4 linked regions of the Pelodiscus sinensis genome follow. The main gene of each other region encodes a partner of the protein of the gene in region 2 in a complex. Links are inferred from orthologs where the notes say so. Each region holds a gene or a part of one and is shown on either strand. Other genes may lie near its edges.

Evidence for each region.
Region 1: the proteins of NMT1 (region 2) and AIFM3 are in contact, whole or in part, in a crystal structure (PDB 6SJZ), measured with the Homo sapiens proteins. The link is inferred for Pelodiscus sinensis from reciprocal best matches to the Homo sapiens genes NMT1 and AIFM3. Residues at the interface, in NP_066565.1 of Homo sapiens: Tyr180, Val181, Glu182, Asp183, Asp184, Asp185, Phe188, Arg189, Phe190, Asn246, Thr282, Ala283, Gly284, Tyr296, His298, Phe311, Tyr401, Ser405, Ile469, Gly470, Asp471, Asn473, Leu474, Leu495, Gln496; in NP_001373743.1 of Homo sapiens: Gly2, Cys4, Phe5, Ser6, Lys7, Pro8.
Region 3: the proteins of NMT1 (region 2) and HPCA are in contact, whole or in part, in a crystal structure (PDB 7OWM), measured with the Homo sapiens proteins. The link is inferred for Pelodiscus sinensis from reciprocal best matches to the Homo sapiens genes NMT1 and HPCA. Residues at the interface, in NP_066565.1 of Homo sapiens: Tyr180, Val181, Glu182, Asp183, Asp184, Asp185, Met187, Phe188, Arg189, Phe190, Tyr192, Ile245, Asn246, Phe247, Thr282, Ala283, Gly284, Tyr296, His298, Ser300, Lys310, Phe311, Ser312, His313, Tyr401, Leu403, Ser405, Tyr420, Gly468, Ile469; in NP_002134.2 of Homo sapiens: Gly2, Lys3, Gln4, Asn5, Ser6, Lys7, Leu8, Arg9.
Region 4: the proteins of NMT1 (region 2) and NCS1 are in contact, whole or in part, in a crystal structure (PDB 5O9S), measured with the Homo sapiens proteins. The link is inferred for Pelodiscus sinensis from reciprocal best matches to the Homo sapiens genes NMT1 and NCS1. Residues at the interface, in NP_066565.1 of Homo sapiens: Tyr180, Val181, Glu182, Asp183, Asp184, Asp185, Met187, Phe188, Arg189, Phe190, Tyr192, Asn246, Thr282, Ala283, Gly284, Arg295, Tyr296, His298, Ser300, Lys310, Phe311, Ser312, Tyr401, Leu403, Ser405, Tyr420, Gly468, Ile469, Gly470, Asp471; in NP_055101.2 of Homo sapiens: Gly2, Lys3, Ser4, Asn5, Ser6, Lys7, Leu8, Lys9.

Annotation. Positions count from the first base shown.
Region 1 is NC_134725.1:14,366,087-14,373,589, reverse strand, and holds the start of AIFM3 (apoptosis-inducing factor 3), read right to left. Parts: upstream 3,004-7,503; 5' UTR 2,528-3,003; intron 1-2,527. UniProt on the Homo sapiens protein: Induces apoptosis through a caspase dependent pathway. Reduces mitochondrial membrane potential.
Region 2 is NC_134739.1:489,067-496,426, reverse strand, and holds the start of NMT1 (glycylpeptide N-tetradecanoyltransferase 1), read right to left. Parts: upstream 3,005-7,360; 5' UTR 2,973-3,004; coding exon 2,845-2,972; intron 1-2,844.
Region 3 is NC_134735.1:3,160,215-3,168,111, forward strand, and holds the start of HPCA (neuron-specific calcium-binding protein hippocalcin), read right to left. Parts: upstream 3,015-7,897; 5' UTR 2,862-3,014; intron 725-2,861; 5' UTR 688-724; intron 1-687. UniProt on the Homo sapiens protein: Calcium-binding protein that may play a role in the regulation of voltage-dependent calcium channels. May also play a role in cyclic-nucleotide-mediated signaling through the regulation of adenylate and guanylate cyclases.
Region 4 is NC_134732.1:13,197,587-13,205,220, reverse strand, and holds the start of NCS1 (neuronal calcium sensor 1), read right to left. Parts: upstream 3,005-7,634; 5' UTR 2,989-3,004; intron 1-2,988. UniProt on the Homo sapiens protein: Neuronal calcium sensor, regulator of G protein-coupled receptor phosphorylation in a calcium dependent manner. Directly regulates GRK1 (RHOK), but not GRK2 to GRK5. Can substitute for calmodulin. Stimulates PI4KB kinase activity.

The sequences.
Region 1 (7,503 bases), on a different chromosome or scaffold from region 2:
CCTTCTCCTCCCTTTCTTTGATTGCCATTGTTGTTAATTCTCTCCATGCTTCACTAACTTGCATGCTTGACTTTTTTTGACCCACTTACTGCCCACAATGTACATCCTGCCAACCCACAGCCCTGGCTCATTCCCTCCACTCCTGCTCTCCCATTACAGAGCATTGCTGGCAGAAATCCTATGACCTTCAGTTCTGCCATCTTCCTAGCTAAATAATTCTGTCAACTTAACTGAATCCTATTCCTGCCTTAATTTGACTTATGCCTCACCCTCTCCCATCCTTCTGCTCCAATTCTGTCTCTACGTAGACTCTCACCAATTTATTCTGACATAAAGTTGACAAAATATCATGTAACTTTACCTCTCCCCTCAGCTCAACTTCCTTTTTTCCCGTCACAGATACAGATGTTTCTGATCTGCTCTTCTCCTCCACTTTCCCCAGTGACCCCATCCCACCTCCTGATCTCCTGTGCTCCCTCTTCCAGCCTTGCACTTGTTCTTCTCCTTCTCACTCTCCTCCAGCTCCTTCCCTTCATTACACAAACTGTATACTTTCCCACCTTAAGAACTCACCCTTGACACCATTTGCCTCTCCAACTACCAGTCCATCTGCCTTTTAGATGTAAACTTATTGAACATGCTGTCTACAATTGTCATCTGAGATTTCTTCCCATTCCAGCCTAGACTTTCTCCAATTCAGCTTCTTGCTCCTTGCTCTCCACTGAATCCACTGCTACCGAAGCCTGCATAATCTTTTCCTGCTGACAGCTCAGAATCAGTACCCCATAGAATCATAGAACTGGAAAGGAACCTTGAAAAGTCATTAAGTCCAATCCCCTTCACTCATGAAAGGACCACACTCCAGTTGAAGCTCATCCCAGTCTAACCTGCTCTTAAAAATCTCCAGTGATGGAAATTCCACGATCTCCCTAGGCAATTTATTCCAGTGCTTAAACTCTGAGGGTTAGGAAATTTCTTGTAATGTCCAACCTAAACACCTCTTGCTGCAATTTAAGCCCATTGCTTTTTGTCTTACCCTTAGAGGTTAAGGAGAATATTTTTCTCCCTCTTCCTTGAAACAACCTTTTAGGTACTAAAATCTCTTTCTTCTCTTCTCAAGCCTAAATAAATTAATTCTTTTAATCCTCCCTCACAGATCATTTTTTCTAAACTTTTAATCATTTTTGTCGCTTTTCTCTGGACCTTCTTCAATATGTCCACATCTTTCCTGAAATGTAGCGCCCAGAACTGGACACGGTACTTCAGTTGAGGCCTAATCAGCAAAGACTAGAGCGGAAGAATGACTTCTTCTGTCTTGCTTACAACACTCCTGTTAATACATCCCAGAACGATGTTTGCTTTTTTTGCAACAATGTCACACTACTGACTCATATTTAGCTTGTAGTCCACAATGACCCGTGGATTCCTTTTTCTGCAGTACTCCTTCCTAGACAGGCAGTTTCCATTTTGTATGTGTGCAATGGATAGTTCCTTCCTAAGTTTCACCATCTTAGACTTGTCAGCCACCAACAAGGCCATCAACCATTATAGCCCAGAAAATCTAGAGATATCTGCAGCTCTGTTTTAAGCCAATTTATGGAAATCAGGGTCATTATTTTCACACTTGACAGTTTATCATTGGGCTCCTGAAGCTGTGATTGTCAAGGAGGTCAAATGGCATTATGTGTCCAACTCTCACAATCAATGGGAGCTGGGTATCCATCTCTACTAGGCACCTTTTAAAATTCTAGTCTAAGATCATTGACCATTTCTAACCAACTGGTTAACTAATCTGATTTTCATTGGTTTCAGTCAGTGAAAATACCACCCTTAAATAAAGGGCTTGGTTTTTAAACGGAACCTAAGAGAATTATGTGCCCACAAATCTCAATTTAGATGCCTAAATATGGGTTTAGAAACCTTATTTTAGGCAGCCAAGTTTGAAAATCTTAATCCAGCTGTTCCAATTCACTGTCCTGTGCTTTAACTACTAGCCTATGTTATCTTGTGCTTAGCAATTTAAACTTATACTGCAGGGTATCAGGAATAGTTAATAAATATGATTGCTATTTATACTAGAAGACCTGATTCAGCATTTATCATTAACGAAGCTTCGGACTAGCCCACACTGAATGTGACACAGCAAACCTAAACAAAACATTGCATGATGTGCTGCTAATACAAATCAACTGAATTCTATGTAGGTAGTAATAACACACATTGCAGCATATAGGAGCTGCATCCGATCAATGTTAAATTAGAAGGAACACAAAGGAGGCAGCTTGTATTCTTTTCTTAGGTTTTAATTTTCAGTTAGAGCAATACTACATAGGATGATATAATCAATCTATTCAGAAAGCCACAATTATACTATTTTAGCAATGTCAACAGAATAGATATGTAAACATGAACTTGATCATTATTTGAGAGAAACAGCTTCTTTACACTTCAGTTTTCAACCAGACAAATATCTATCCATTTGCTGCTCATAAAGCAAAATAATGCACAATCTAAAATAGCTGCTTACCTGAGCGGAAAGACTGAAGCCTCAAGCCACAATGAAATTAAACCATAGAGTTACAAGAGAGCTTCTTAGAGTCCCTTCAGGCAGCAGAAAGCTACACTGGAAATCCTTTGCTTTGTATTCCAATTTAGAAGAGGCTTGAGGCAAGTCACAGTGTGTGTAGTAATGCAGCTTGTCCTAGGCTTGCAGCAGGGAGTACAGCCAGTTCTCTTGGGCTGCATGCAGTCTTGATATAGTAGCTCAGAACACCAGGGAAGCAGGAATTCTCCTGCATCCCAGCCCCTTTCAGTTAGCAGCTGCTATGGCAGCTTGTACCTTTTTAGTCACTATTGATTGCTTAAGAACTTCATGCACCTTTCAAAGGACTTCACTGCATAAACGCTCTGGGGGCTGACAGGAGGCCTTTGACTGTGATGTCAGAGGAAGAAGGCCAGTGAACTTCTCTTGCTTAACCTCTTCACTGCTGTAGGATAAATGTATCTTCCCCTGCTGCGAGAATTGTATGCTATTGATGTGTGGCCCAATGGTGGGGGTTAGGGGGCAAACATAGGGTTAACATAGAGGTGTCCTGGATGTGGCATACTGTTCATGTGGGCTGCAGGAACTTTGAGTGGATAAGGTAGTAGGCAGGGGCACACCTGAAGGTGAACTGCCGGGTACCGCGTGTGTACTCCATCCTTCCCTCCCTCCAGAAATAGGGTCTCATATCCCTCTCTTTTTTTTTTATCTGCTCCCTCCAGATATTGCATTTTTTATCCCTCCTCACAGATCTACCAGTTGTTTTTAATGCCTCAAATGTGTGTGTTTTCCCCCTACAGCCACTTCAGATACAGTATTCTGTTACTTTCTCTGATTTATGGTGTTTTTCAGTTGTGTTTAATTTATGGGATTATTTTAATCTTATATCACATGGAAAGTTTTGGGGTTTTTTGGAGTAAGGGCAATAGTAATATTTCCTACCATACAGAGTTTTTATATCCCCTGATTGTTTTAAAAATTCCTCTTGGTATATGGACTGATTTTACTCCTTCTGGTTATGGGATTTTTTCATTCCATCTTGATACATGTCTTTTATTACTTCTCAGTGATATATATAGATGTATTCCCCTTTCATAAAGGGATTTGTTGTATTCCTGATGGGATATTTTACTGAGAAGCTAAAATATCGTTTTTACCACATATGCAAGAAGTTAGTGCAGGGATGAGCAAACATTTTGGCCTGAAGGACACATCTCAGCATGGAAATTGTATGGCAAGCCATGAATGCTCATGAAATTGTGTGCAAGGGGCAAGGGAGGAGGTGAGGGCTCTGGCTGGGAGAGCAAGATTTAGGGTTGAGCCAAGGATAACAGGTTTGGGATGGAGGAGGGTTCACCAGGCTGGTACCAAGGTGTTCAGAGGGTAGAAGGGGGATCAGGGCTGGGACAAGGAATTGGGGTATGGGAAGAACACCCCTGTGAAAGGAGAAACCCGGAGAAGCAAGCACTTCAGCTCAGCTCAGCCCATTAAGAGCTAAAACCTGCACAAAAATAACAGGGAAACATACAGAGAAGACCCTAAAAACAGAAGCCCCAAAGAGAACACATTAAGGGGTGTCCAGGCTGCAACAGGATGTCAGGGTAGGAAAGTAAGGGACACTGAAGCTAGGAGAGGGTCACACCAACTTGCAGCACACAAAAAGGTGGGGGTAGGAATCTGTTGTCTGGTAAAACAGCAGACATGGTTACAACTTCCCTTTTCCTGGATGGGAAAACTAAATACATCATGGAGATAGATATGAGCTTACTGAATGTGTTTGTAAAAGCTTAGCTAGGTAGGAATCTGGGACCACTTCAAAACAAAGCAGAAAGCTTTGCTACTTGACCAACCCACTATGCACAAAAGTTACCCTGAGGCTGGATAAAATGTGAAAGGGTATGTCTACACAGCAAAGTTATCTTGAAACAACAGCCGTTATTTCGAAATAACTTTACCAGCGTCTACACAGCCAAACCGCTATTTCAAAATTAAATCAAAATAGCGGAGGGCTTATTTTGAAATTGGTAAACCTCATTCCAAGAGGAATAGCACCAATTTCGAAATTGCTATTTCAAAATAAGCGCTATGTAGGTGTTTATTTCAAAATAGGGGGCCTCCAGCCTTCCCAGAGTGCCCTGGTGGCCACTCTGGGCACAACCGAGAAAACTTCTCTCTCCCCTCCCCCCTCAGCGGAGCCCTTAAAGGGGTAGATTCTGGCCACAGTGCCTGTGCCAGCTCCAAGCCTGCCATCCCAGAGCCAGCAGTCGCTGTACCAGACCCAGTGGCCCCAGCATGAGCCAGGCAGCCAGTGCCAGCCAGCCCTCCACCGCTCCCCAGGACCAGTCTGCCATCTTCCAGTAGCCTGCCAGGGGCCAAAAAAGGTGGGTGCCTGCCTGGTCCAGAGTGGAGATCAGGGACCTAATTCAGGTTTGGGGGGATGCCTCCAACATCCACGATCTCCTCACTAAATGGAGGAACGCAACCATCTACAGGCGGATGGCTGCCAGCCTCGCCACCAAAGGCCGCATGCGAATCCAGGAGCAGGTTCATATGAAAATAAAAGAGCTGCTGCAGGCGTATGCCAGGGCCACAGGGGACAGCTCCCAACCAGGGGCAGACCCAGGCCCCTGCCCCTATTTTGATGCTGTGGAACACATCCTGGGGGGCAGGATGGTCTGTGCCCCCCAGGTAGTCATTGACCCTGGGGTAGAGCTTCCTGTCTCTGCTGCTTCAGCCCCTGCTGCCTCCCCAGCTACCGCTCCTCCTCCCACTCCTTCTCCCCCTCCCGCTTCTTCCTCCCAATCCTTGCCAAGCCCCCAGGGATGCTGAGGCCTCCACACCCGTGGTTCTGGGAGACAGTTGGCCTGGTGAGACCCCCCCCAAACCTGAGCCCTGAGCTTCTCCTCCTCCTTCCTCCCCTTGCCACCCCCTGCCAGCTCCCTCCTCCCAGGTTTCCCCCTCCACTCTCTCTCCTTCCCTCTCTCACCTTCTTTTCCCAGTCTTACCTCAGTTTCATTCTCCCTCTCACTCCAGTTTTGTTCACTAAAGAAGCTTTGTTGTAATGAACATGTGTCTTTTATTGTACAGCAGGGAGGGAGGTTAGGGAGGGGTAAGTGGAAGGACGTGAGGGAGGAATGAGGCACAAGCCCCCAGTGGGGCACATCAGGGAGACTGTTACTGCCTGCAGAACGTGCTGCCAGGCTCACAGCAACACATCCAGGAGAAGCACCAGAGTGCCCAGAGGCAGCTCCGGCTCCATGCTGCAGAGTGGTGTGGTGTCCTGAGTGAGGGCAACCAGAACATACAGAGAAAAAAATGCTTTGCTGTCCCTTAGTGAGGTAGGCAGGCAAGCAGGGAAACCTTAGAACCGGCTGTCCAGGGGGATCCCTTTAAGCACAGGTCTCAGCTAGCCTCAGGCAGCAGCCACACAAGGTAACTCCTGACCTGATGCCCTGCCAGAACAGGTTCTGGCCGGCCTTAAATGCGATGCAGCATCCAATCAGTGTGAACGCGCTATTTCAAAATAGCAAAACGCTATTTTGAAATGCATTTTGTGTCTAGATGTGTTATTTCAAAATAACACTGTAGTGTAGACACACCCAAAGGCTGTGTCTAGACTTGCCAGTTTTTCCGCAAAAGCAGCTGCTTTTGCAGAAAAACTTGCCAGCTGTCTACACTGGCCACTTGAATTTCCGCAAGAACACTGACTTCCTACTGTCTGAAATCAGTGCTTCTTGTGGAAATACTATGCTGCTCCCGTTCGGGCAAAAGTCCTTTTGTGCAAAAGGGCCAGTGTAGACAGCTCAGATTTGTTTTGCGCAAAAAAAGCCCCGATGGCGAAAATGGCGATTGGGGCTTTTTTGCACAAAAGCGCGTCTAGATTGGCACGGACTCTTTTCACAAAAAGTGCTTTTGCGGAAAAGCGTCCGTGCCAATCTAGACGCTCTTTTCCGCAAATGCTTTTAACGGAAAACTTTTCCGTTAAAAGCATTTGCGGAAAATCATGCCAGTCTAGACGTAGCCAAAGGGAAAAAGCTAGGAAGAGGGTGTCAGTTTAACTTGCTTTAAAGTACTTCTGCAAAGATTGGATCTGAGACTGGTCCCTCACACATGAGTCAGTGGCTTTTCCAGGGGTCACAGAATCATAAAATACTAGAACCAAAAGGGACCTTAAGAAATCATTGAGTCCAGTCCCCTGTCCTCATGGCAGGATCAGGCACTGTCCAGATCATCCCTGATAGATGTCTATCCAAACTGCTCTTAAATATCTCCACTGTTGGAAATTCCACAATCTCCCTAGGCAATTTATTCCAGTGTTTCACCACCCTGACAGTTAGGAAATGTTTCCTAATGTCCAACCTAAATTGCCCTTGCTGCAATTTAAGCCCATTGCTTCTTGTCCTATCCTTAGAGGCCAAGCAGAATTTTTTCCCCCCCTCCTCCCTTTTAGATACTTGAAAACTGCGATAATTTTCCCTCTCAGTCTTCTCTTTTCTAAACTAAACAAACCCAGTTCTTTCAGTCTTCCCTCATAGGCGATGTTTTTTAGACCTTTAATCATTCTTGTTGCTCTTCTCTGGATTGTCTCCAGCTTCAGTTGAACTAGTTCAGCCATGCTCCAGGCATTCTTCCATAGAAAGAACTGTGCAGCACATGCACACACCAGGTGCCTTGGGACAAAACAAAACCCTACAGATACTGCAACTACCCTGTAGGATAGGGGTTAACCACATGCAGGAGATGCACCGACCCTGCCATCCTGTGGTGAGAGAGAGACATAATAGCCTGTCTGTGGGAGCAATGGTGCTGTGTGCTATCATTTTTTAAGGAGTAAAAGTTATTTCGAAGGAAGGGTTTCTTTTCAAAATAACCCCATTTTTTTCTCGAAATATGCTATTTTGGAAAAGCATCCAGCCACATTATGCAAATGAAGCAAAGGAAATTCAAATCCGTGCTTCATT
Region 2 (7,360 bases):
GCTACGACTGCCCCCCCCAACCCTCTGCAGCCCCCACAGGGGCCACCATCCAAATGCAGCCATTTGGGGGAGAGCAGCACGCAAGTGGCCCCAGCGCGACGGGGCGAGGGTGGTTCCAGGGCCCCTGCAGACGAGCTCACTCGAGCATTGGACTTGTTGGCCATGTACAGACCGAGGGGGGGGGGGCTTTTTCGGGTCAGGGGCTGCTGGCCCACAGAAAAATCAGTCTGGGGCCGCACACAAGTGAGAAGCAAAGAGACGGAGGAGAACGCCGCTCCCCACACTGCCCACAGCGGAGCTGGGGGGCCAGGCTAGCAGACTGGGTGTGCTCAGCCCCACAGCAGAGCAGCAGGGAGGGAGGGATGCCATCACTGGCTCCCCAGTGCTGAGCCCTAGGGCTGGATCCAGGCAAGCCATGGGCCACATCCAGCCCCACGGCCTGAGCTCCCCCACCCCCGCACTAAACCGGGAAACGACGCTCTGGCCAAGAAAGCCTCCTCGGCACAGAGTCTGCGCCAGGAACCGGTCCGCCAGCAAAGCAGACCCACCTCACTTCCTCCGCTTCCCACCCGTAACACCACTGCACAGCAAAGTGACCCAGTGTCTGGCCCGGTCGCAAGAGCACAGCGGCCCTGGGGCAGCGCCCGGGCGCCGAGGAGGGGAACTGCCCACTGCTGTTTGCCACTTGGCAGATCGCTGCGCGACAGGCGGCATTTCAGATGCTTCCCCCACTTGGGATCCATGGATCGGGTCACGCTGGTTTCCGCACTCGTATTAAACGAACAGAACACACCCACTGCCACCACTCGGATGAGCTTCTGGGAGTCTTGCTCTTCTCCTCTTTGGTCTTTTCTCTCTCAGAGGCCTTTGACTGGGTGGGGGGGTCCTGCCTTGTCCACATTAGGATGGGAAAATATCAGGTGCGAAACTTTCCCCCCCAGGAAGACAAAGGGCTGAGAGTTTATACTCAGCTGGCCTGGGCAACGCCAGCAAAAAGCACAAAGCAAAGTCAGCAGGCGAGACCCAGCCCTGCTCCTTGATGATCTGGTTTTACAAACCCAAGCTGCCAGAGGAGAAGGCAATCAAAGCTCCCAGGCCAGCTACTACACTAAGAAGCAGTGCCCCGCCCACGGGCAAAGGAAACGCTACAGCAAGCCCCTGTGGGCACAAGCAAGCTTCTTTACTAGTTCCTCCGTGAGCTTTTAACAGCTTGTTCTTTCACAAGAGATTGCCTAATAAAAGCTGCTGACAAAGAGGCTGCTCTCTAGCTGATGGCCTCTAAATCTGCACCTAGGGGGCCGAGGATACGAAAAGCGGAGCAAGTCGTTCCACTGACGCTCAGATTCGCACAGCACAAGTCTGGAAGACTGTGGTTATACACGTGGCTGAGTTCACACTGACCAGCACACAAAGTGGGGCTAATGGAGGGGAAAGTCTCTCCTTTAAGCCACCCGCATAACTAAGTTTTCTGGAGCCTACAATAGGCAGCAAGAAGAACATGGAGAACAGCTGCCCTAACCTGGGTGCCATAAGCAGCCTCATACCCAGGAGGCAGCAAGTGCATTTCGCAGACTGTTCCAACCAGCCTGCCTCACGCCATACGCAGACCCACCGTATGAACCAGCAAAACAATGAGTCCATCCCCGAGCCAGATCCCTCAAGATGTGCGATTTAGATACTAAGAAGCAAAGACAGGGGGGTTGGATAAAATCTCCAGCATAAATATTCCATAAAATAGGTCATTAGAAACCCCCAACAGATTAGACTAGAATAGCAAAACAAGGCCCTCCCATCTGGAACCAGAAGCATGCTGTCTACACCTGGGTTTGGACACAGCTGGTGTAGCAGAAGCCAGGCCTTGTTCCTCTGATCTACTCAACTACAAAAGCCCAATGAGTTAGCCAGGTTCATACTTGAAGGGGGGAAAAATCCTGGTTCACATTAACCAGGAAAACCTTCTGGCTGTGGGTGCCCTATGGTCTAGCAGCAGTGACAGTCAAGCTGCCCTGGACACAGACATTTTGACAACCCCCCCCCCATCCCTTTTCATTGCTCACTGTTTACAAAACTTCCATTTTCCACTGTAGCCATTTCCTAGTAATACTCTGGAACACCTTCCGCACGCAGAACACAAAGCCTCTGGCAAGCTGGGTTGCATGCAAGACTCGCTGCACCTGATATTAAGGGGGGGCCCTTTCGCTCGTATTTCCATCACATGCATTACACGGTGAAGCGATGTGCTAGGGGTGCACTGGAGTCTCTCGCCCCCAGGGAGAGCCCCACAGCGGCTCCCAGGCCCCAGCAACACGCACAGCTTGGAAGCTAAACTGCAGGGGAGCCGATGAAGTCACCCCAGCGGAAACCCGGCCAGAGCACAACTGGCTGGGGTGCAAAGCTCTCCAGGGTCCGCAACAATCACGCCTGCCCAGGGCGGCTCCCTGCACTGAGGGTGCCCATGCCCACCCCAGGCTCCCTTTCCTGGGCCTTTCGGCTGGTGCCTCCCCCAAGCCAAAGTGGGCAGGACCCAAGCACCAGCAGCCCTCGTGCTATGGCGCCGGCGTGGCCAGCAGCTCCCGCGCCCCCGGCTGGGGCGCCCCACCCCACGCCACAGGTCTCCCATCCACGCCCTGCTACGGCCCGGCCCTGCTTAGCTTGCGAGACATGCTGCTGCAGCCCACGGGCCCCTCCCCCTTGGACTGGCAAAGAGGCCGGCCAGTCACAGCTCGCCGCGCCGCCCGGCAGCCAATCAGGCCGCGCGAGGGCGGGGCGAGGCGCACTTCCCGGCCGCGGCCCCGCTCAATGGGCCGGTCCGGCGGGGCCCGGGGGGCTCGGGGCCGCGCTCACCCCCGGTTGTAGCTGCGCCCGTCCTCGTTCTCGCAGTCGCTGCAGTGCTCGTGGTCATTCTCCTCCGTGGGCGATCGCTGGGGCCTCGGCGGCGGCCGCTGCACCGCAGGCTCGCTCTCGTCCGCCATCTTGAAAGGGGCCTCGGCGCGGCCGCGCCCCCACAGCTAGACGCGGCACGATTGGGCGGCTCAGCGCGGAGCATGCTGGGACTTGTAGTCTTCGGCGAGAGGAACGCGGAAGAGCGCGTGACAGCGCAAGGGACTACAATTCCCATGAACCTTAGGGCGTGGCAGAGAGGCGCACGAGGCCAGGGGCTTTCTGGGATGTGTAGTATTAGTGAATAGTGATAGAGATGCAGCCGTGTTAGTCTGGTGTCGCTGGAACAAAAGACAGGACTATGCGGCACTTTAAAGACTAACAAGATGGTTTATTAGGTGATGAGCTCGTCCTGTATTATTGAATAGAGGGACTAGGAACAGTGACCGTTCATTGGCCCCATGTCCAGAAACTATCAATTCTTTACCCCAAATGAGACTTAGAGCTATGAAGGCTGTGACACCAGTAACTGGACGTCAGAGCCTGGGAAGGGCACAGAAGTACTACATCGTACAGTCGGCCAGGTGGATGAGGGGAGTGGTCAAGGAGGAGACCCACTCTGCCGCCGCATGCTGCATTGCACTGCGCCTTCTTAAGCTCTCCAGACACGCTCCTGTCTTTCACATGTTCTATGAAGAACCTCAGGATGCAGTGAATGGGGAACTCTCTTCTGGGGGTGGGGAGGAGATGGTTCAACTTCCTCAAAAGCATTACGAATTGACTACCGGACACTAGATTAGTTGGACAGATTATTTAAACTGGCATAGTGCAGATTTTATCAGACTAATACTGCTTCCTGCTGGACAGAAGGAACTGGACTGCTATCGGAACTTCCTCACTCTCAGCCCATTTGAGCTCAATATGGCGATGCAATCTCCTACTTCAGGTTTCTAGTTGTTGACAGGACCTAAATGATTTGTGGCATCACTTCTGACATGCCCTTAATATGGAAAACCTTGTATCATGCGTGGCACAAAAATGCTAGAACCAATGTAGATATCTATGTAAGCTGCATGCTTATTTGTCCCACAACAGATGTACACATAGTCTTGGGCCTATAAGGTTCCAATATTGTATATTTCTTCTTTTGTGGCAGCTCTGGCAAAATGCAGTTTTATAGATGGGGATAGTGATAGAAATGTAGCCGTGTTAGTCTGGTGTAGCTGAAACAAAAAACAGGACTATGTGGCACTTTAAAGACTAACAAGATGGTTTATTAGGTGATGAGCTTTCGTGGGCCAGACCTACTTCCTCAGATGCCTCAGACCCACTATTTGATCTGAGGAAGTGGGTCTGGCCCACAAAGGCTCATCACCTAATAAACCATATTGTTAGTCCTTAAAGTGCCACAAAGTCCTGTTTTTTGTTTCATAGATGGGGATGTCATTGTCACATCTTCCCAAACACCATAGCGGGATGGGCAAAGGGCCAGCAGTTATTGGGCAGAGCCATCTGTCCATAGGATGGTTCCTCCAACCAGCCCAGGCCTGTCTGTGGGGACTAGCAGGGGATCAGGCCCACCCCCACACTCATTACGGCAGTGAGCAGAGCAAAATTGGAGGATTGGTCCAAAAAAAATTTGATGAGGTTCAACAAGGACAATGGCAGAGCCCCGCCGTTGGGACGGAAGAATCCCAAGTACTGCTACTGGCTGGGGACTGACGTGCTAAGCAGCAGTTGAGCAGAAAAGCACCTAGGGATTACCGTGAATGAGAAGCTGGAGATGAGTCAAGACTGTGCCCTTGTAGCCAAGAAGGCTTACAGCATATTGGAGTGCATTAGTAGGAGCATTTCCAGCAGATTATTCCCCTTTATTTGGCACTGGTGAGGCCACACCTGGAGTATTGCGTCCAATTCTGGGGCCCTCTGTTAGAGAAGGGATGTGGACGCATTGGAGAGAGCCCAGCAGAGGGCAGGAAAAATGATTAGGGGGCTGGAGCAAAAGATTTATGAAGACAGGCTGCGGGATTTGGGCTTATTTAGTCTACAGAAGAGAAGAGATAAGTGGGATTTCATAGCAGCCTTTAATTACCTGAAGGGGAGGTTCCAAAGAGGATGGAGAGAACAAGGAGCAGGTGGCAGAACAAGGAGCAATGGTCTCAGGTTGCAGTGGGGGAGATTTAGATTGGAGATTAGGAAAAACGATTTCCCTAGGAGGATAGTGAAGAACTGGGCTGGGTTCCCTAGGGAGGGGGTGGAGTCTCCATCCCTAGAGGTATTGCCATCCCTTGACAACCGCCTGGCTGGGATGATTGAGTTCGGATTGGTCCTGCTTCTCACAGGGGTGGCTTGATGACCTCCTGAGGTCTGATCCAACTCTATGATTCTATGAATCTGGCCCCAGCCAGCTCTACTCTCCCAGCCATGTAGCTCAGGGGAGGAGTTTAGGGGAAGGGTTGGAACCGCCCCTTGCACTCCCCAGTTGCAGAAATGGATAGACATGTCTGGGGGCTGGCGGAGCAGAGCTGGCTTGGGCCGAGTTGCTCAGCTTACCACTGCAGGTGAGTGTGGGCAATGGGAAGGGGCTGACCCCTGCTGTCATCACCTGTCACCCGCCAGTTCCTTGGGCTTTGTTGCTCAAGGGAGGGGGCTTGGAGGAAGAGGTAGAGTGGGGGTGAAGTGGGGGCAGAGGCTTTGGAGAATTGGAAGAGCAGGGCTGGGAAAAGGTGGGCCCTCCCCTAACCTACAGGTGATGTGAGGAGGAGTCACATGGGGAGGGGTGGTCACGTGGCCAGTGCAGCTGTTGTCCCTCTCCAGCAGTTGCCACTGTGTAGATGGCCATAGCACACTTGTGCACTGAGCAGAGAGACAGCAATCATCACTTCTGCCCTGTGTTCTTTATGCTGGCTAGGTAGAAATACGGCCCTACCAAATTCGCAGCCATGAAAAATGTGTCCCTGACTGCAAAAGCTCATTTTCCCCTGTGAAATCTGATCTTCTTGGGCACTTTTACCCTGTATGTACAGATCTCACAGGAATGACCAGCATTTCTCAAAGTGGGGATCCTGACACAAACTGCAAGGGGATCGCAAGGTTATTGGGGGGTTGCAGTATTGCCACCCTGACTTCGGCACTGCCTTCAGGGCTGAATGTCCAGCTCTGCATGCAGAAGATAGTGTGCCAGTACCACACTAGGCCTTCCTTACTTCAGTGCTGCTGGCAGTGACTCAGCCGTCGAAGCTGGGCTTCTGACCAGCAGCTGCCACTCTCCAGCCGCCCAGCTCTGAAGGCAGCACTGCCGCAAGCAGCAATGCAGAAATGCTGCGTAGCAGTACCACAACGCCCTTGCAAGAACCCTGCAATCCCCTCCCACTCGTTTTTGGGTCAGGACTTAAATAGCTGAAATCACAAAATGTATCACTTCAAACAGCTGGTGGCCCATGTAACTGACCAAAGCGGACTGTGAGTGTGGCAGGGCCCAAGTGTAAAAGCAAGAGCTGAGTTTAAACACGTGTCTCTCCCCCCCCCGCACTAGACGCGTCCCTGGGCTCTGGGCCAGGCTGATCTCGCAGCGCGCGCTGAGCTACAGGCTGCAGGCCCCGCCCCCCCCGGCCTGGGCTAGCCCGCCTGACCTCCCCCCTCACGCCCCGGGGGCGGGGCGAGCCCAGGAAGAGCGGCAGCGATTGGCTGAGCGGGCGGGGCCGGGTTGCTCCCCGCCAACGAGAGGCCGGGACAGGGCGGCGAGGCTGAGGCGGCCCCGCGGACGGGTGAGGGGATCGGGGGGGCCTGAGGCCGCTTCCACCGGCCCCCGCGCCCCACAGCTCGGCGGCCCGTTGGGGGGGGCGGGGAGGCGCCGAGAGCTGGGGGGGGAGGCGCCGAGAGCTGGGGGGGGGGCTGGGAAGGGCCGGGGGGGGAGGCGCCGAGAGCTGGGGGGGGGCTGGGAAGGGCCGGGGGGGAGGCGCTGAGAGCTGGGGGGGGGGCTGGGAAGGGCCGGGGGGGGGAAGGCGCCGAGAGCTGGGGGGGGGCTGGGAAGGGCCGGGGGGGGAGGCGCCGAGAGCTGGGGGGGGGCTGGGAAGGGCCGGGGGGGGGAAGGCGCCGAGAGCTGGGGGGGGGCTGGGAAGGGCCGGGGGGGAGGCGCCGAGAGCTGGGGGGGGGGGCTGGGAAGGGCCGGGGGGGGGAGGCGCCGAGAGCTGGGGGGGGGCTGGGAAGGGCCGGGGGGGGAGGCGCCGAGAGCTGGGGGGGGGCTGGGAAGGGCCGGGGGGGAAGGCGCCGAGAGCTGGGGGGGGGCTGGGAAGGGCCGGGGGGGGAGGCGCCGAGAGCTGGGGGGGGGCTGGGAAGGGCCGGGGGGGAAGGCGCCGAGAGCTGGGGGGGGGCTGGGAAGGGCCGGGGGGGAGGCGCTGAGAGCTGGGGGGGGGGCTGGGAAGGGCCGGGGGGGGGAAGGCGCCGAGAGCTGGGGGGGGGCTGGGAAGGGCCGGGGGGG
Region 3 (7,897 bases), on a different chromosome or scaffold from region 2:
CAAGGCACTTCGGTATCAGGCTTCCACTCAGTTACAAAAGCAGCAGGGCACCTAATTCCCTGAGACTCCTTCCCAAATCCTAGCCCGTTTAAACTCCCCCCACCAAACCGATCCTCCCCAGGGCTCAGCAGTGCTCACACTTAGCCCCTCCTCCCCCACCCTTTTGCTCAGAGCAGAGAGCAGCTCACGCGCTTCCCATTAGACATCACTGTCGCTGCTCAGCGGAGAGACGGCCAGCCCTGTCAGCCCCTTCCAAGAACAAACGCACGTCCAGAACGCGCCCCGGCCTGCATTGTGCTGCCTGGCCAAGTCTGAGCCATGGCCCGAGGCAGAGCTGGCCTGCGAATGAGGCCTTGAAGGCAGAGTCAATTAATAAGGGATTTCCCTGCCTTTCCAGGTTGGGTCTCTCAACACCTGCCCGCTGCACTAACAGCGAGGAGCAATGATCTAACGCTGCAACTGGAACGCGCAGCATCCTGCGAGACACCCAGGGCTTGCAGAAATCACGCCTGGACTGAGATTACGCTGGAAGTCGTTCGTTTGTAGCCCCCCCCAACACACACTTAAAACATCTCTAAATGCACACACACACACACACACACACACACACACAGCCCTACCCCCGCTTGAGCTACCCAGATGCACCACAGCCTCGCCCACAAGGCCTGGATTCCATCCTCTACTCACCCACAGGAGCACAGAGATGGCACGGAAGACCCAGGCGCTGGAAAGAAGAACGGAGAGGGACAGTCAGCGATCCATTCGCACCCCGACACTCGATTCCTGAATCGCAGCTACCCTGCCCCATGGCAGCTGGAAGTCACGGGCGCGGGCCTCAGTTCCGCTGACAGGCGCTCAGAGCCACGCTGGGCATAAGCCGGCTACGAAATTCCTTCGGGCCCCGAGCAAGTCCAGGGGATCCCCGCTTTGCTTTTTATGCTACACATTGGCCAGTCTGAGTGCCGGAAGGAGCCCCCAATAGCCTGCTTAGTGCCTCAGTGGGCTAGCGCCAGCTCAGAGCAAGCGTCACTCTCAGCCCGTCTGGCAAAGGCTCGGTGAGCAGCCGGGCCCTGGGCTGCACCCCAAGGTGGGTGAGAATCCAACCGGGTGTCAGATTCTAGAGGGGAGGGTCTTCACTCTGAGAGCCCCTTTCCCCCCAGAGGAGACCCCCCCCAACAGTGCTCAGGAAAAGGTGACCAGCCTCCCAGCCGTGGCCAGCACCCCGCCCGCGTGTCGAGCAGGTCTCAGCAGGGGGAGGCGTCTGGAAGGGGAGCACAAAGGGAGGGGAAATCCCGGCAAAGCCTCCTCCCTGGGCGTCCCTTTTCCGAGCAGAGGAGACCCCTCCATTCAGCACCCCCCAGCCCGGGAGCAGATCCCACCACGTTCCCAGGGGTCTCCGTCCATAGAGCCCTTCCCCGGGTTCTAATCCGGCCACTATTGCGGCTTCAGGCCCCTGCTGGCTCTGCAGGCCTTGGCCCTCAGAGCCACCTCTTCTGCCCGCGTCCCCTGTCCTGCCTAGGGATGTAAAACCCTGTTTAATTGGTTAATTGTGATGTCTAACTGGTTAACCAATTAAAGGAGGGAGGGCAGATGGGCAGCCCCCCCCCCCCCGTGCCACACGGACAGGGGCTACTCTGGATGGCCATGGCCGGAGCAGCCCCTGGCCGTGGTGGGCCGTGCAGGGCTGGAGCAGCCCCCTGCCTGGGCACCTGGCACCTGGGCCGTGGACCGGGGGGCAGTGGAAGCAGCAGTGGGGCAGAGGCTCAGAGGAGGGGCTCCCCCGAGATTCAGGGGCCTCCCTGCCATTCTCCCTGGGGAAGAGGCTGAATGAGCAGCCCAGATGGATGCGGCGCCCCGGAAGCAGCGCTGGGCCGCTCTCCAAGGTATGTTATCCAGCACCTCCCTGTCCCCACCCCCTCTCCACCACATGCTGCCCATTTCCTCCGCATTAAGCAGCGGAGCCTGGGGTCACAGGGAGCAGGGGGGCTGGAGCCAGGAGCGCCCAGCCCAGGGGCGCCCTGTGTCAGGAAGGGGCTGGGGGTCCCAGGAGCCAGGGACAACGCCGGAGCGCACGGTCCCCCCAGGCTCGGAGCGCACGGTCCCCCCCGGCTCGGAGCGCACGGTCCCCCCCCGGCTCGGAGCGCTCGGACTCCGCCAGCCGCAGGCGGCCCCAGTGCTGCGGCAGCTCTCGGCTTCCCTGCAGCTCCCGGGAGCAGAGCGCAGCGCCGCCAGGGGAGGCGGGCCTGAGCTCGGCGAGCCCCCGGAGGGGAGCCGGGGAACCCCGCCGCCGGCCGGCGGGCAGGATGCGCTTCAGCGCCGGTGGCTGCGGCACAGAGCTGGGGGGGGCACTGTAGATCTGCGGGGGGAGGGGGACGGACAGCAGCCGTCCGGCCAGAGGGGTGGGTCCCCCCTGGGAGCAGCCGAGTCCCACTGCAGCAAAGCAGGCGGCTCGCCCCCAGCCCTGCCCCCCATCGCACGCCCTTCCAGCGGGACCGCGCGCTCCTGCCCCGGGAGGGGGCACCTGCATGCGGCTCCCCGGCTCCGCAGCCGCAGGGGGGGGGGAGCAACGAGCCCCGCAGCTCTCGAAGCCGGGGGGGGGGGGCTGCATGGAGCGGGAGATGGGCGGGGGGATCCACCCCCTATGCCACGGGACAGGGGACGAGCCATGCCCCCCCCCCCGCCGCAGAGCCATGGGCCGCTGCCTTTGGGGCAAAAGGGTTTGATTTCTTGCAAAGCCCCCCCTTAACCCCCCCGGCCCCCAGCGCGGCAGGAGCTGGCGATCCCCCCGGGAAAGGGGGCAGAGACCCACCCGCAGGGGCAGCTTCCCCCACGCCCGGCTCCTGCCCCCCGCGGCTGCCTACCTGCCCGGCGAGCAGAAGCGGCGGCTGCTTCCCCCCACCCCCCTGCGTGTCCGCCTAGTGCCCGCCCGAGCGCCGCATCCCTGCCGCGGCTACTGCTCCATGCAGGCGCCAATGCACGAGCCCAGCAACTTCGGGGCGGGGGCGGCTGGACGGTGAATGGGGGGGGGGGGGGGGACTCCTGCAAAACTGGCCCGGGGGAGGCGCCGCGGGAAAGGGCGGGGGGGACGGTCCCACCCGGAGCAAATCCCCGCGGCAGCTGCCCTGACGGCGCCGGGGGGCCCTGCCCGCGCCCCGCCCGCGCCCCGCCCGCGCTGCGCCCCCGATTGGCGGGGCTGGCTGCCGGCGCCCACTGCCCCCCACCCCCGCGTCCCTGGGCCGGCTTGGTGCAGTCCGGCTCGGAGCCCGACACTTGAATGGGATCTGGAGCGGTGATTGACAGCCGCCTCCCGCAGGACGCCTGCCGGGGAGGGGGCGAGGGGGACGCTCCGGGACGCCTCGCCGACCAGGCGGCTCGATTCAGAGCGGGCTTTAAAAACACAGGCAGCAGCCAGGAATGGACCAAAAAACACCCCCCCCCCCCGCCCGCTAGGGGAGACTCCCCGGGGAGACGCCCCAGCTGCAGCCAGATGAGAGGCCCGAGGAGGCGGCTGATTGGGACAATGCCTGGGGGGGGGGGGGGGGGAGCAAGGTGGCAACGCCTGGGGGGCAGGAAAGGCGGGGGGGGAGGGGCTGGCGTGCAGCACCTACATTGGCAGCCAGTGGGGCAGCCCAGAAAGCCGATTCCAGCCCCCTGTGTTGTGGATGGCAGCCTGCTGCCCCCCAGCTCCCACCCAGGCCTGGTGCCCCACCGAAGCTGCCTGGGGGAGTTATGGGGAGGGAGGGGCTGCGTGGCGTTGTGGGATTAGGCCACTAGCTGGGGGTGTCTGCTGCAGGGATCCCCAGTGAGATCCCAGTGCGACCGATATCGCCCTGCGCCCCGTTTTACCTCCTTGTATGGGGAGCGCAGTCGTTCACCTCTCGCAGCCCCCAATACATCTAAACTATGGGGGGGGGTGTTTCGAAAGAGGATATGCAAATTCCACATAATTTGCATATCTTTCGAAAGAGGATCTTTCGAAAGTGAAAGTAGTCTGGACATGGTTTTTTTCCGGAAAAAAACCTCTTTTTCGGAAAAAACCCGCGTAAACCTCATTTTTTAAGGACGAGCGGTCTCAGGCTGGCGGTGGACTCAGCCTGCCAGCCCCCGGTGAGCCATTTGGGGTCTGTCAGCCAGGTCCTCTTTGCCATCCTCTTGGGAACCTAACTTTTTACAAGGTGAGAGGTGAGAGGATGGTGCAGAGCCTGCTGCAAGGGGCGGATGCTGCTGCTGTGGAGTGGGGCAGCACAGGGGCCCTGCGACATTGGCCTGGGGTGACAATGCTCTGCGGGTACGATGTATGTTACACGCATGCAGTGCAGGCGTAAGATTGCGGAACTCCGGCCTGCCAGCGCACATGCCGCCGCTGCACTCTACTGGAGGGATCCAGAACCTGCCCCTCTGTGTCAGAGCCCCGAAAACGCTGATGGATTCTCCTTCGGCTCCTGTGGCACCCGGGGCTCCGAGTCCTCTCCTGGCTGCCAGCAGCACAAGCGGCTGCAATACAAACTGGACAGTCTGAAAGGGTTAATGGACACAAAACAGATACCAGAAATGGGAACACACAGAAACTCGTAGGGCAGGGGTGGCTAAGACATGGCCCAGGGGCCGGATCCGGCCCGCCAAGCCTTTCTATCCGGCCAGTGGCCCACCCCACTGGACCCACAGGCAGGGAGCAGCCCCAGGGTTCAGAGCAGCTGGCTGCTCCATCTACCTCCCTGCGCTGGGGGTAGGGGGAAGCTTTGCATGCTGTGAACCCCTCCTTCACCACACTCCCTTGCAGACCCCTCACCCTCTCCTGCACCCCAGTCCCTTACCCTGAGCTCCCTTCTGCACCCAATCTCCATCCCAGACCCCACACTCCCTCCATAGAAAAGTGCGGACATTGACCACTTACCAATATCTTGGAGTGCCCCACCCCCCATCAAAAATTATTTTGCACCCTGCTGTAGGGGAATATTTGAACCTGCCTGGGCCCTCGTTAATGGGTATAAAAGTAGCCATTCTTCTTCAAAGGAATTTCACAAGCCAACAAGAGGGAGAGAGAGAGAAAAGAAAAAGAAAGAAAAGAATTGACCTTTATATGCAAATTTGACACTGTTTCCCTGGGCCTGAACAAAGCCATTAAGGATTATACAACCTTACATGCAACACCCAGCTGACATCAAAGCTAAGTATGGGACGCTTCCAGCCCACCCAATTAGCCCCGGGACTAGAATTGACAGGTAATTTTTTTTCTCCCTCTCCCTTCTTATTCCGAGGGTCCCCTGTTGTTGCTCAACTCACCTGAACGCTCGTGATCCTAGATCGATTTTTGTTAGTCTCTAAGGTGCCACAGGACGACTCGTTGTTTTTAAAGGTCCAGACTAACAGGGGTCCCCCGCTGAGACCTTTTAACCCTTCTGCATTGCTTTGGGCACCTCCCTTCCCAGGCACAAACCCTGCTCCCTCCCCAGAGACTGCACTGGGCTGGCCTGGAAACACAGAGGAGCTGCTATTGGGAAAGGTGGAACTGGGGCTGACTGGGACCTTCACTAGCTTATTCATGAGCCTAACGGGGGACAGAGGCAAAGAGAAACAGGCGGGGAGTCAGGGGTTCGGTGGGAGGGAGGGTTAGGACTGAGTTACCCATGTCTTAGGACACACCGCTCTGCCCCTTAGCGCCGTGGTTTTCAGACTGTGGTCCACAGACCCCTGTCTAAGTTTTCCGAAGGGGCCGTGCCGCCCTTTGAAATGGGTAAAGGGTCTGCCAGTGAAAACGGGAGGAAAACCGCAGCCTCAGCCAGAGAGCCACCAGCCAGGGCCACCTGCAAGAGGGAGCCGCAATTACACTGCAGCCACAATTACACTGCCGCTAATTTCATTTGTCTCCTTTCTGGCCAGCAGGTCCCAAATTGCTGTGATCTGGACGCCGCTAGGGCCGACCCTGGCTGGGGACTTGTGGGCTGCCCCACTGCTCCGATCCTGGCAGCAGCTCCAGAGGAAGCTGCCCACCGTTGCTGCTCCTGGGGCAGGTCGCGGGCTTGAACCCACAACCACCCCAGGCTTCAAATTGAGCCCCCCCACACACACACACCTCCAAGCTTCAAATTGAAGCTTCTTAGTTTCGCAGCTAATTCCAGATGATCCCCCTGGGATTTGGCTTCTATCTCGCCATCAGGTGTGTTTCTGTTGATATGAAAGCTCCCCGGCCCGCAGGCAGCGTGTCCTGGCACGTCCGCTCAGAGGGAGCGATTACGGAGGGGGCAGGAGAGAGGCTCAGGAGGAGCCGTGTGCGCAAGCAGTGAGATGGCTTCGCGCTCTGGCAAATGGAGAGCAGCCCGGTGCCATGCAAGCCAGGCTCAGCGCTGGGAGCTGCTCCTTCCCTTCATGAAACTAGCTCAACTTCATTCATTCCAGGCAGTTCCACTGGGTCCCATCCCTCCCCCACACTTCTGCCTCTCCCCCATTTCCCAGGGCCCCAGGAGGTGAATGACACACAGAAGGCCAATAGCTCCTTTAAGGATGGTGAGCATTGGCACACCTGTCTGAGGGCAGATCTTAGAGGGTGAATGGGTACGTGTCCTGGGAAGGGGCATGTGTCTGCATCTGTGTGTGTGTATCTTAGCATGTGCTTAGAGGTGTGTGTGTGTACATGTATGAGGCCCATTGTGTTTATGGGCATATGTCAGAGGGGTTGAGCCAGGTTAGTCTGTAACTTTAAAAATAATGTGTGGTCCTGTGGCACCTTAGAGATGCACTAAGACGAACTTAGAGATGTGGTGTGGAGAGGGCGAATAAAGAAAAGTTATTTATTAGTTCCCATAACAGAAGAACTAGAGGACACCAAATGAAGTTAATGGGTAGCAGGTTTAAAACTAATAAAAGAAAGTTCTTCTTCACACAGTGTGTACTCAACCTGTGGAACTCCTTGCCAGAGGAGGCTGTGAAGGCTAGGACTATAACAGAGTTTAAAGAGAAGCTAGATCATTTCATGGAGGTTAGGTCCATAAAAGGCTATTAGCCAGGGGATAGAAATGGTGTCCCTGGCCTCTGTCTGTCAGAGGCTGGAGAGGGATGGCAGGAGACAAATCGCTTGATCATTGTCTTTGGTTCACCCTCTCTGGGGCACCCGGTGCTGGCCACTGTGGGCAGACAGGCTACTGGTCTAGAAGGACCTTTGGTCTGACCCAGTACGGCCGTTCTTATGTTCCTATTGCCAAAGCTGAGCAAAATGAAAGATGAAAATAAGCAGCATCCAGAAAGAAAAGACCATGAGCACGTGACAGTTCTTTGTATTGCAACAATCTCCACGAGGGTGTGATTTGTAACTGCGGTGGGGCAAAGAATGGCGTTTTTGGTTTATTGGCTATTCTGATTATTCAAAAATATGAACATTTTGGGTTTGAACCAAAAATGAGTTTTTAACATTTTCTGTGAACTGACAAGTTGAAAAAAACTCATTTGGGGTTGAATGAAATGTTTCCTTTTGACAATAAATAAAATATTTTGTTTTGATTTCAGCCATTTTAAAACATTTTGATTAAAAAAAAGAAACGTAAAGACAAGGTAGAAACACAAAGTCATTTCAAACCAACAAAATCAAACTGTATCAGTTAAAAACCATCAAAACCAAATGTTTCAATGTGTTCTTCTTCCTTCCCCCACTGAACCAATTTAGCCAAATCAACTTGAATTTTTAAAACATTTCAGTGTCACTAAATCTGCATTTTTTCACCAAAAAGTTGTGGTTGAAAAGTTTTGCCCAATTCTGTGGGTAACCTAGAAAGGGACATTTTTACACTGGGTGTTTTTGGGGCTATGAGGGTGGTAAGTGGCTAGAACAATCAAGCTCTCCAGATGGTCAGCACGCTGGACAGCCAGCTGTTTAGAGGTCATTGCTCCACATGGTTATTGATCA
Region 4 (7,634 bases), on a different chromosome or scaffold from region 2:
TTCATAGGATGCAATATTTAGTGGCCAAGACCCCTTTACTAGGTTTGAAATATAACAAAGTGTGTTCCTTCCCTGCCCTCCCCCTGGTGTTAGTCCTTGGAAAACGAATGTTAGCTCACTGATTTTACTGAGTTCCCTGTCATTTTAAATATAGCTTGAAGTCTCAATGACATTTTAGTGCTTTTAAACAACTACAGCAAGGCTTTGCTTTAAGAGAAAAAGACTCCCCCTAAGTCGTTTGGCACCACCAGCAGTTAATATATTCCAAAACGCCCTGCATGGTTGCTTAGATTAGACTTTAAGAAACCATGTATTTTGAAGTCACTAAACAAATAGAGTCTGTAGATACAGAAGTGAAAGCTCATTTGACTGGCTCCGTGGGGTCTCAATTACCACAGGGCAACCCAGAGCCTATTTTTCTTCCTTTGTACACTCTTGATTAATTTTCTTCAGATATTTTAAAGTCAAAAACCAAAAATGCGATAATGCAATTACTTTCAGACGTCTCACGTATAATCCAGGAGCCTTGCAAGACAAGCATGAAACTTAAAAAACTACTAGCCTCTTCCCTTCCCCCATGCCTTTAGGAGTATCAGTGCTCCAGGCTGGCAAGAATTAAACCTCAGAAGTAGGCTCTGAGACAGTATATTGCAAAGTGGAAAAGCACCTCTGATTTTTTATTTAGATACAGTTAAAAATGAATGTGTGAGAGAGATTCATAGAGTGGATAAATTTTCCCTTGGCCGTAAGATACCTGGCAGAGCCAGTTCCACTGGAACAGCGAACCTGATAAGAATTGGAATGATCCGTGTGAAATAAATGTAACATGCAGTCTGTGGAAGGGGGAGCCGGGGGACAAGAGACAGTGAGAATAACGACATCATCTTTTTATAACCTCTTATTCCAGAGAGAAATATTTCTAGCAGAGTTACCTGGGAATTATGTCTCATTGGGGTTATGACACTATTCGATACACAAGAAGCAGGGACAATTTGTGACTTGATCCAAATTCAAATGACTCAATCTGTAACTAACTTCTAAAATAGGCTCTCTTACATTTCAGTGGGAACATATAAGGGTTTTCACAGAGTATCAAAATCAAGAGCATAGTCTATTACCCAATGGGTTATGAAAAATATTTGAAAGCAGGCAAGTGCATGTGTGCAGCTTCCATTGATTTTAACAAGAACTGCATGCATGTATCCCAGGGCACAATTAGCCTGAAGCTTAATTTTTAATATGTTTACACTATGTTGTTCTAAGCCCAACTGTTCAGTCAGTCTGTCTCTGGGGGAAAGTTAGTGAATATTACAAATAGTTGGATCCAATTTAAAGACAGCCAGGGGAATATAGCCACTAGGGAAAGAAAGCAAGTTATTTTCAGCTAGAAAAATTAAAGAATTTTAACAGCTTGCTAAGGCTCCAGAGTGTGGTATCACCATGAACTTGAAAGTAAATGGATGTTCTCAACTTGCCTTTACTCTAAGGTACTTACACACTCTTTCCCAATCAAGTGTGGCACCTATATTATTTGACTGCCACACAATTGGTGACATTTATACTCCCAACAATCTTAAGAAGGGACATTTATAATCCCCATTTTATAGGTGAGGAACTGAAACACAGAGCAACTAGTGACTTATCTGAGGTCACTCAGAATGTGAACCCTAATGCTAGGGACATTACAAGTCAGCAGGAGAGAGACAGTAAGGAATAGTTCTGTGTGACACTAGGAGATGGACACAGTGACCCAAGGAGTCTTTTTTCCATCTCTGACTTCTAGGCTATTCAGACATCTGATTAAGCACATTAGCAGGATATTTCCATTCAAATAAATCAGCAGTCTACACTACGAGCGCCGCAGCCATGCTGGAGGAACCTGTAGCTGTAGGCTCCCTACACAGATGGAAGGGTTTTTTCCTGTCACTGATGGTAATTCACCTCCCCAAGTGGGATAACTAGCTCAACAAGCATTCTTCTGTGGACATAGCTGGGTCTATAGTGGCAGTGAGGTCGGCGTAGCGACAGTGCTATGCGACATTGCTAGGTCTACATTTTAAGTTGTAAACCAGACTTAATACAAATATTTAATTGTCCTCAAGCTTCAACACCAACATTCTGTAGGTGAGCCACACCTCTTATAGCCTTTGCTTCAAGTGTTTATACATTTCAAGGGCAAAAACCTGATTTTTTTTTTTTTTTAATTTCAGGAAACTGATTTCTTCAGGACAAGGGCTGTGCTTACTGTCTCTAATCTACAGCAGGTAGCATAATAGATCCCTTGCTTCATTTAGAGCCTCTAGGTCAGGGGTGGGCAATAATTTTTGACTGGGGCCACTTCAGAAGGGGCAGGGCCTCAGGCAGAAGGGGTGGGGCCAGGACATATCTGTGCTTCCCCACTCTCAGATCCTGACTGGTCTGGGGGAGGGGGAGTGCACAAAGTTGTTGCCCCCTCCCCCCAACAGAACTGCCAGCTGTTCTGAACAGCTGGCAGTTCCCTCTAGGTACCTGTGCCCCTGGTGGTGGGAGACTTTGTGTGCTTCCCCCTGCTCCCGCCCTACAAGGGAGTGCCACACTTAGAGTCACCCACCAGCTGAGCAGCAGCTGGCAGGTTGACTTTAAGTGCTGAGCCCCTGGCAGGGTGGGAGGAGACTTTGCACACCCCCAAGCCAATCAGGGTTCGGGGGCTGAGGGAGCGTGCAAACTCTCCTCTCGCCCTATGGCACTTCTAAGCACCCTGCACTCCTTGCAGGACAGGGGCAGGGTGGGACGAGACTCCATGCGCTCACTCCGCCCCCGGGCCTTGATTGGCCTGTGGCGGGGGAACAGCAAGGCCTCAATGGGCCAGATGCAGCCCGTGGAGGCCATTTTGCTCACCCCTGCTCTAGGTGCTCCTAAAGGGCAAGAATGTCTTTTTGTCTCATTTTTATTCAATTCAAGCCCTGCTCACAAACATTTATGTATATACAATATTAGATTCTTACTCACCAGGCTATACAAATGTCTGAACAGCTTCAGCTTTGATGGGAGAATAGCTAGTGTGGAAAGAAACACAAGGCCATTAGGAAATGTTAATACAAGCCACCTAAAGCACAGGCCTCTTAGGGCTTGCTTATTCAGGGATATATATAATTATGCACAGTAACAAGCTAAACCAGAAAGAGCCATTTATTCTGAAATAAGTGTATCTACATAGGAAACTGTATCACTATAACTACCATGGTAGATTTCCCCAGATAGACCAGCCCTCAGAAGAGAGCTGAGCATTTCAGAAAATGCAAATCCAGGACAGGTTAACACTATCAATTATAAACCACATTTTCTGCCACAATCTATGCAGGATCTGATTAGGTTTTTAAATGGAGCTGGCCACTACTAAACAAAAGACAGTATGCTGTGGTTTTAAGAGTCAAGTCTGCATCTCAGGGAAGCAATTCAGTGACATTAAATGGCAAGCAATATGCCTGCACTCCTGAGTATCCTTAGCAAGCAGCAGAGAAAAGGAAAAATCCTCATGGGGCGGGGGGAAATGAGATAGTACTATAGTGGGGAAATACACATTTACAGCCAGAGGAGATTGCCTGCAATAGGCCAGAAGACAGCAGGAACTTTATCACCTCCAGTATCCTATAGGGTGAATTATGGAAGGAAGTTCTTGGTGTAGACTGCTCTGTCCACAGGCCAACAGCTATGGAATGAAGTTGTCTGACCAGCTGACCCTGCAGGGTCTGTTATAGCTTCTGAACATCTTATCCATGCAGCTTTCAAAATCAAGTTAGGCTTGCCGTGAATGTCAACAATCTGACTAAGAACTGACCCTCTTTACGGTCACTTCTCAGACAGAGGCATCTGTCCAAGGCCAGGGGAGACAGGGAAGCAACCTGACTCTTCTTTGTATGAAATATTTGAAATTTTGAAATACTGAGAGCTGCAGATGGCAGCCTCCCTCCCTCTCGGTTCACAGACATTTTACAGAGTAGAATCATTCTCCAGTTCCTGCGGTAGTTGGCTGTGGGAAAAAGGGGCAGAGAGTGGGGAAAGGAGGAGGCTGACAATTAGTATGAGGCACTCCAAATTTCAGGAATTTTTACTGGATCAAATAATTTCCCCAGGGGATATAACATTCTTTAAAACATAATACAAGTGATTGATCCATTCACTGGATAAGTTCCTATCACACTCTCGGGTCCCTAAGGGGAAACGCCACTTTCCAGTCCTAAGGGGAACATGAAGCTACAGGATGAACCTCTCTTGCCCGGCATCATCCATGCACCAGCATGATTTTAGTTAGCTGGATATCCACTTAGCATGGGTGTGGCCAAGTTTCTCGCAGTCCCATTAAGTTTGTTTATAGCCACCAGTCTTGGCTCTCAGTGTTCTGTGCTGTTATTTAGCTTTAATTTACCCCTAAATGTCTTCTAAGAGCTGAGTGAGCAGTGGAAGTGTTGGTAATGCTGCTAGACAATATTGACCACCCGTGGTTTGGCAAATTCTCCAGTTTACTTAGGACTTACTGCATTGCAAACAATTTAACCATCCAACTCCAGTCAGCTTGGTAAGAAGAAACTCCATTTTATGGCCAAAGAAAACTGAAGCAGAGAATTGTGCCCAATGTCACAAAAGATGTCTGGGGTCAGATCTAGAATTAGAATTCAGAAGCGGCTTGAATCCAGAAGCTAGGACCTTTTGAAGTAAATTTCAGATCCACATCCCAAATCCTCCTTCCTCCCTTCCACCCCCAAAATGCTCTCTGTACTGTTGTCATATGAGACAAACAGCTGTCATATGAGACAGACAACATATCTATGTCAGATCTGGATTATTTGTGTTTCAGCCCCCCCATACCTGTTACAGCTGCACTTTTCCCACTCCTTAAGGATAGACTGTGCTGTCTCCACTGAATTCCTACAAACCCCAGAGGCAAGATGGCCTGCTCATGCTGGCACACCTTAAGATTTCTCATGTGCCATGAATATATGGCAAACCTAGTTCCTTACCCCCCCTTTTCTTCCAACTCCAACCAGCACCACCAAACTAATGGCTCACATGTATCAGTGACTGATCATTCACCACTAGCTCCATTCAGACAGGATAGGGTATAGAAAAGAAGATTTTTACTAACTTAGGGTATGTCTACACTACCCCGCTAGTTCGAACTAGCGGGGTAATGTATGCATACCGCACTTGCTAATGAAGCCCGGGATTTGAATTTCCCGGGCTTCATTAGCATAAGCGGGGAGCCGCCATTTTTAAATCCCCGCTGCTTCGAACCCCGTGCAGCGCGGCTACACGGGGCTCGAACTAGGTAGTTCGGACTAGGGTGCCTATTCCGAACTACCGGTACACCTCATTTCACGAGGAGTAACGGTAGTTCGGAATAGGAACCTAGTCCGAACTACCTAGTTCGATCCCCGTGTAGCTGCGCTGCACGGGGTTCGAAGCAGCGGGGATTTAAAAATGGCGGCTCCCCGCTTATGCTAATGAAGCCCGGGAAATTCAAATCCCGGGCTTCATTAGCAAGTGCGGTATGCATACATTACCCCGCTAGTTCGAACTAGCGGGGTAGTGTAGACATACCCTTCGGGATCTGTTCTGGTACTGTGCATAGCCAGGCACCATGAACCCTGTGATGCTAAATGGATCAAGAGCACATCAGAATATCTATAGTATCAGCTGTGCCAGTTCAGGATGCATGGAATTTAAAATGGCAGAGTCTTAGAATGGTTAATGGTCTGGATTTCTCTGAAAAGTGCTTCAGGGTTCACTCTGTCAGGCAAAAAGGGGGAAAAAGTTACAGCAGTGAAGCTTTTTCCTGTACTAATCAGTCATGCTCCAGCCATAATTTAAGCAAGATTTTTGCAGTAATAAAAAGTCACAGAGCACTCACGACAGTTCCCTGTATTTTAGTCACACACTATACAAGCTACGGCCCTGAAGCTAAATAGGTTGTTGATTTTAAAAGGGTTTCTACTGAATGCAGCACATATTGATGTGAATGAGAATGGAGATCAGCAACAGATGGAGCAGCTGTCAATTTGGTTTGAGATTCAGGCTCTTACAGGTGTTACAGGAATGAGGAACATGGCCTCCGTGTGCTTTAATGACCTCAAGAATGGCAAAGAATCCCAGGCGCTATAACCTACCTTGACAGGGTACACAGATATAATTTACTTTCAAGGCAAATGAATAATGTAGGTTGCCAGTTAGGAGTTCATGCAGGCTTCAAAGAATGGGGCATATCTGCTGAGCTTACAGAAAATGTCTATAGTGTCTGCCAAGAAAGCTACATCCAGTCAGCTCAGGCAGCATCTTAAAGGTTTACATGAGAAGACATGGTTTTTGCAATGGCTAAACTCAACTGGATTTTCAGTTGTACTGGAAGTGGCATCCTTAAATCTACCGGAAGTGACATTTGTGACATCTCCTGTAAGCCAGCTTTAATATCAGAAATCCCAACCAAGTTATTTACACATCTCTAAGTCTAGCACTGAGTGGGTTTTAACATTTTTGGCAGGTAAGTTCTGCTGATGCATTGCTGTTCACGTGTATTCATTCCCATTTGCCAACTAGGTCATAAAACAATGACCCCTATCATTGTCAGTAAGATGGCCACCCACTGTGTGAAAATAGAGGCTGTTGCAACCTACTGCAACCCAAATTAATCTCCTCAGACCAACCAACCTTGCTACTAGGGATATGAATGGTTAGCCAAAGCAGGTGGGGGCCAGGCCCACGGTTTGGTACCATGGATGGGGAGCATTCCAGTCCAGTTGGAGCAGTCCTCACTCACAGCAGGCCTTGCCTCGCTGGAGCAGCCTCTGCCTGCTTCCATTTAAGTGCTTCACTGATTAGACATAACATTGAACCGGTTAACTGATTAAACGGGATTTTACATCCCTACCACCTACTCTGGTTTATGTATAATATCATGGAGTTGCCTGGGGTTGGATAAGAGCGTTGTTTAAGAGGAAACATCCCATGCACACGCTGAGCCCAGCTAAGACAAAGCCAATTCGATTTAAAGTGACAGACCAGTATCAAAATGTAGTAACCAAGAACGCTATCGTCCTAAGCACTCCTCTCCCAACAGACTTCTAGTCAACACAACACTCAAGATTATCTAACTTGTTAGATAAAAAGTTTCCAGGGAGCGGGAGTGGATGCTTTGTAAAATGGCAAGCAAGCTACGAGTGGTAGAAGAGCTAGAGCTTTCTGCGTCTTTCCCATTAACAAAGATCCAACATGTTTCATTTTTAACAAATGTACTTGACAAGTCAACAACTGAGCTATAGAAAACCAGAGCCAAGGAGCTCAAGAAAATGTCACCGTAGTGGAAAACCACCGAGTCCTACTCTTTGAGTCTACTCGCTACCTCCCCATGACTAAAGCAATTAAGAAGTCAGCTTGCAAGACCCACTTTTGAATCCTTGTTACACGTTGGACCTCCCTGATCTGGCACCCTCTGGATCTGATCGGCCCCAAAGGAAGGAGTTTCCTGGACCTTGGGAGGTTGGCCCCTCTTGCTGACAGACTCCAGGCTCTCCCAGGATCTGTCAGCAAATCACCAGACTCCCTTGCCCCTGGGCCAGCAAGCTCCCAGCTCCTCAGCAAGTCCTAGGCTGCTAGGCTCCACT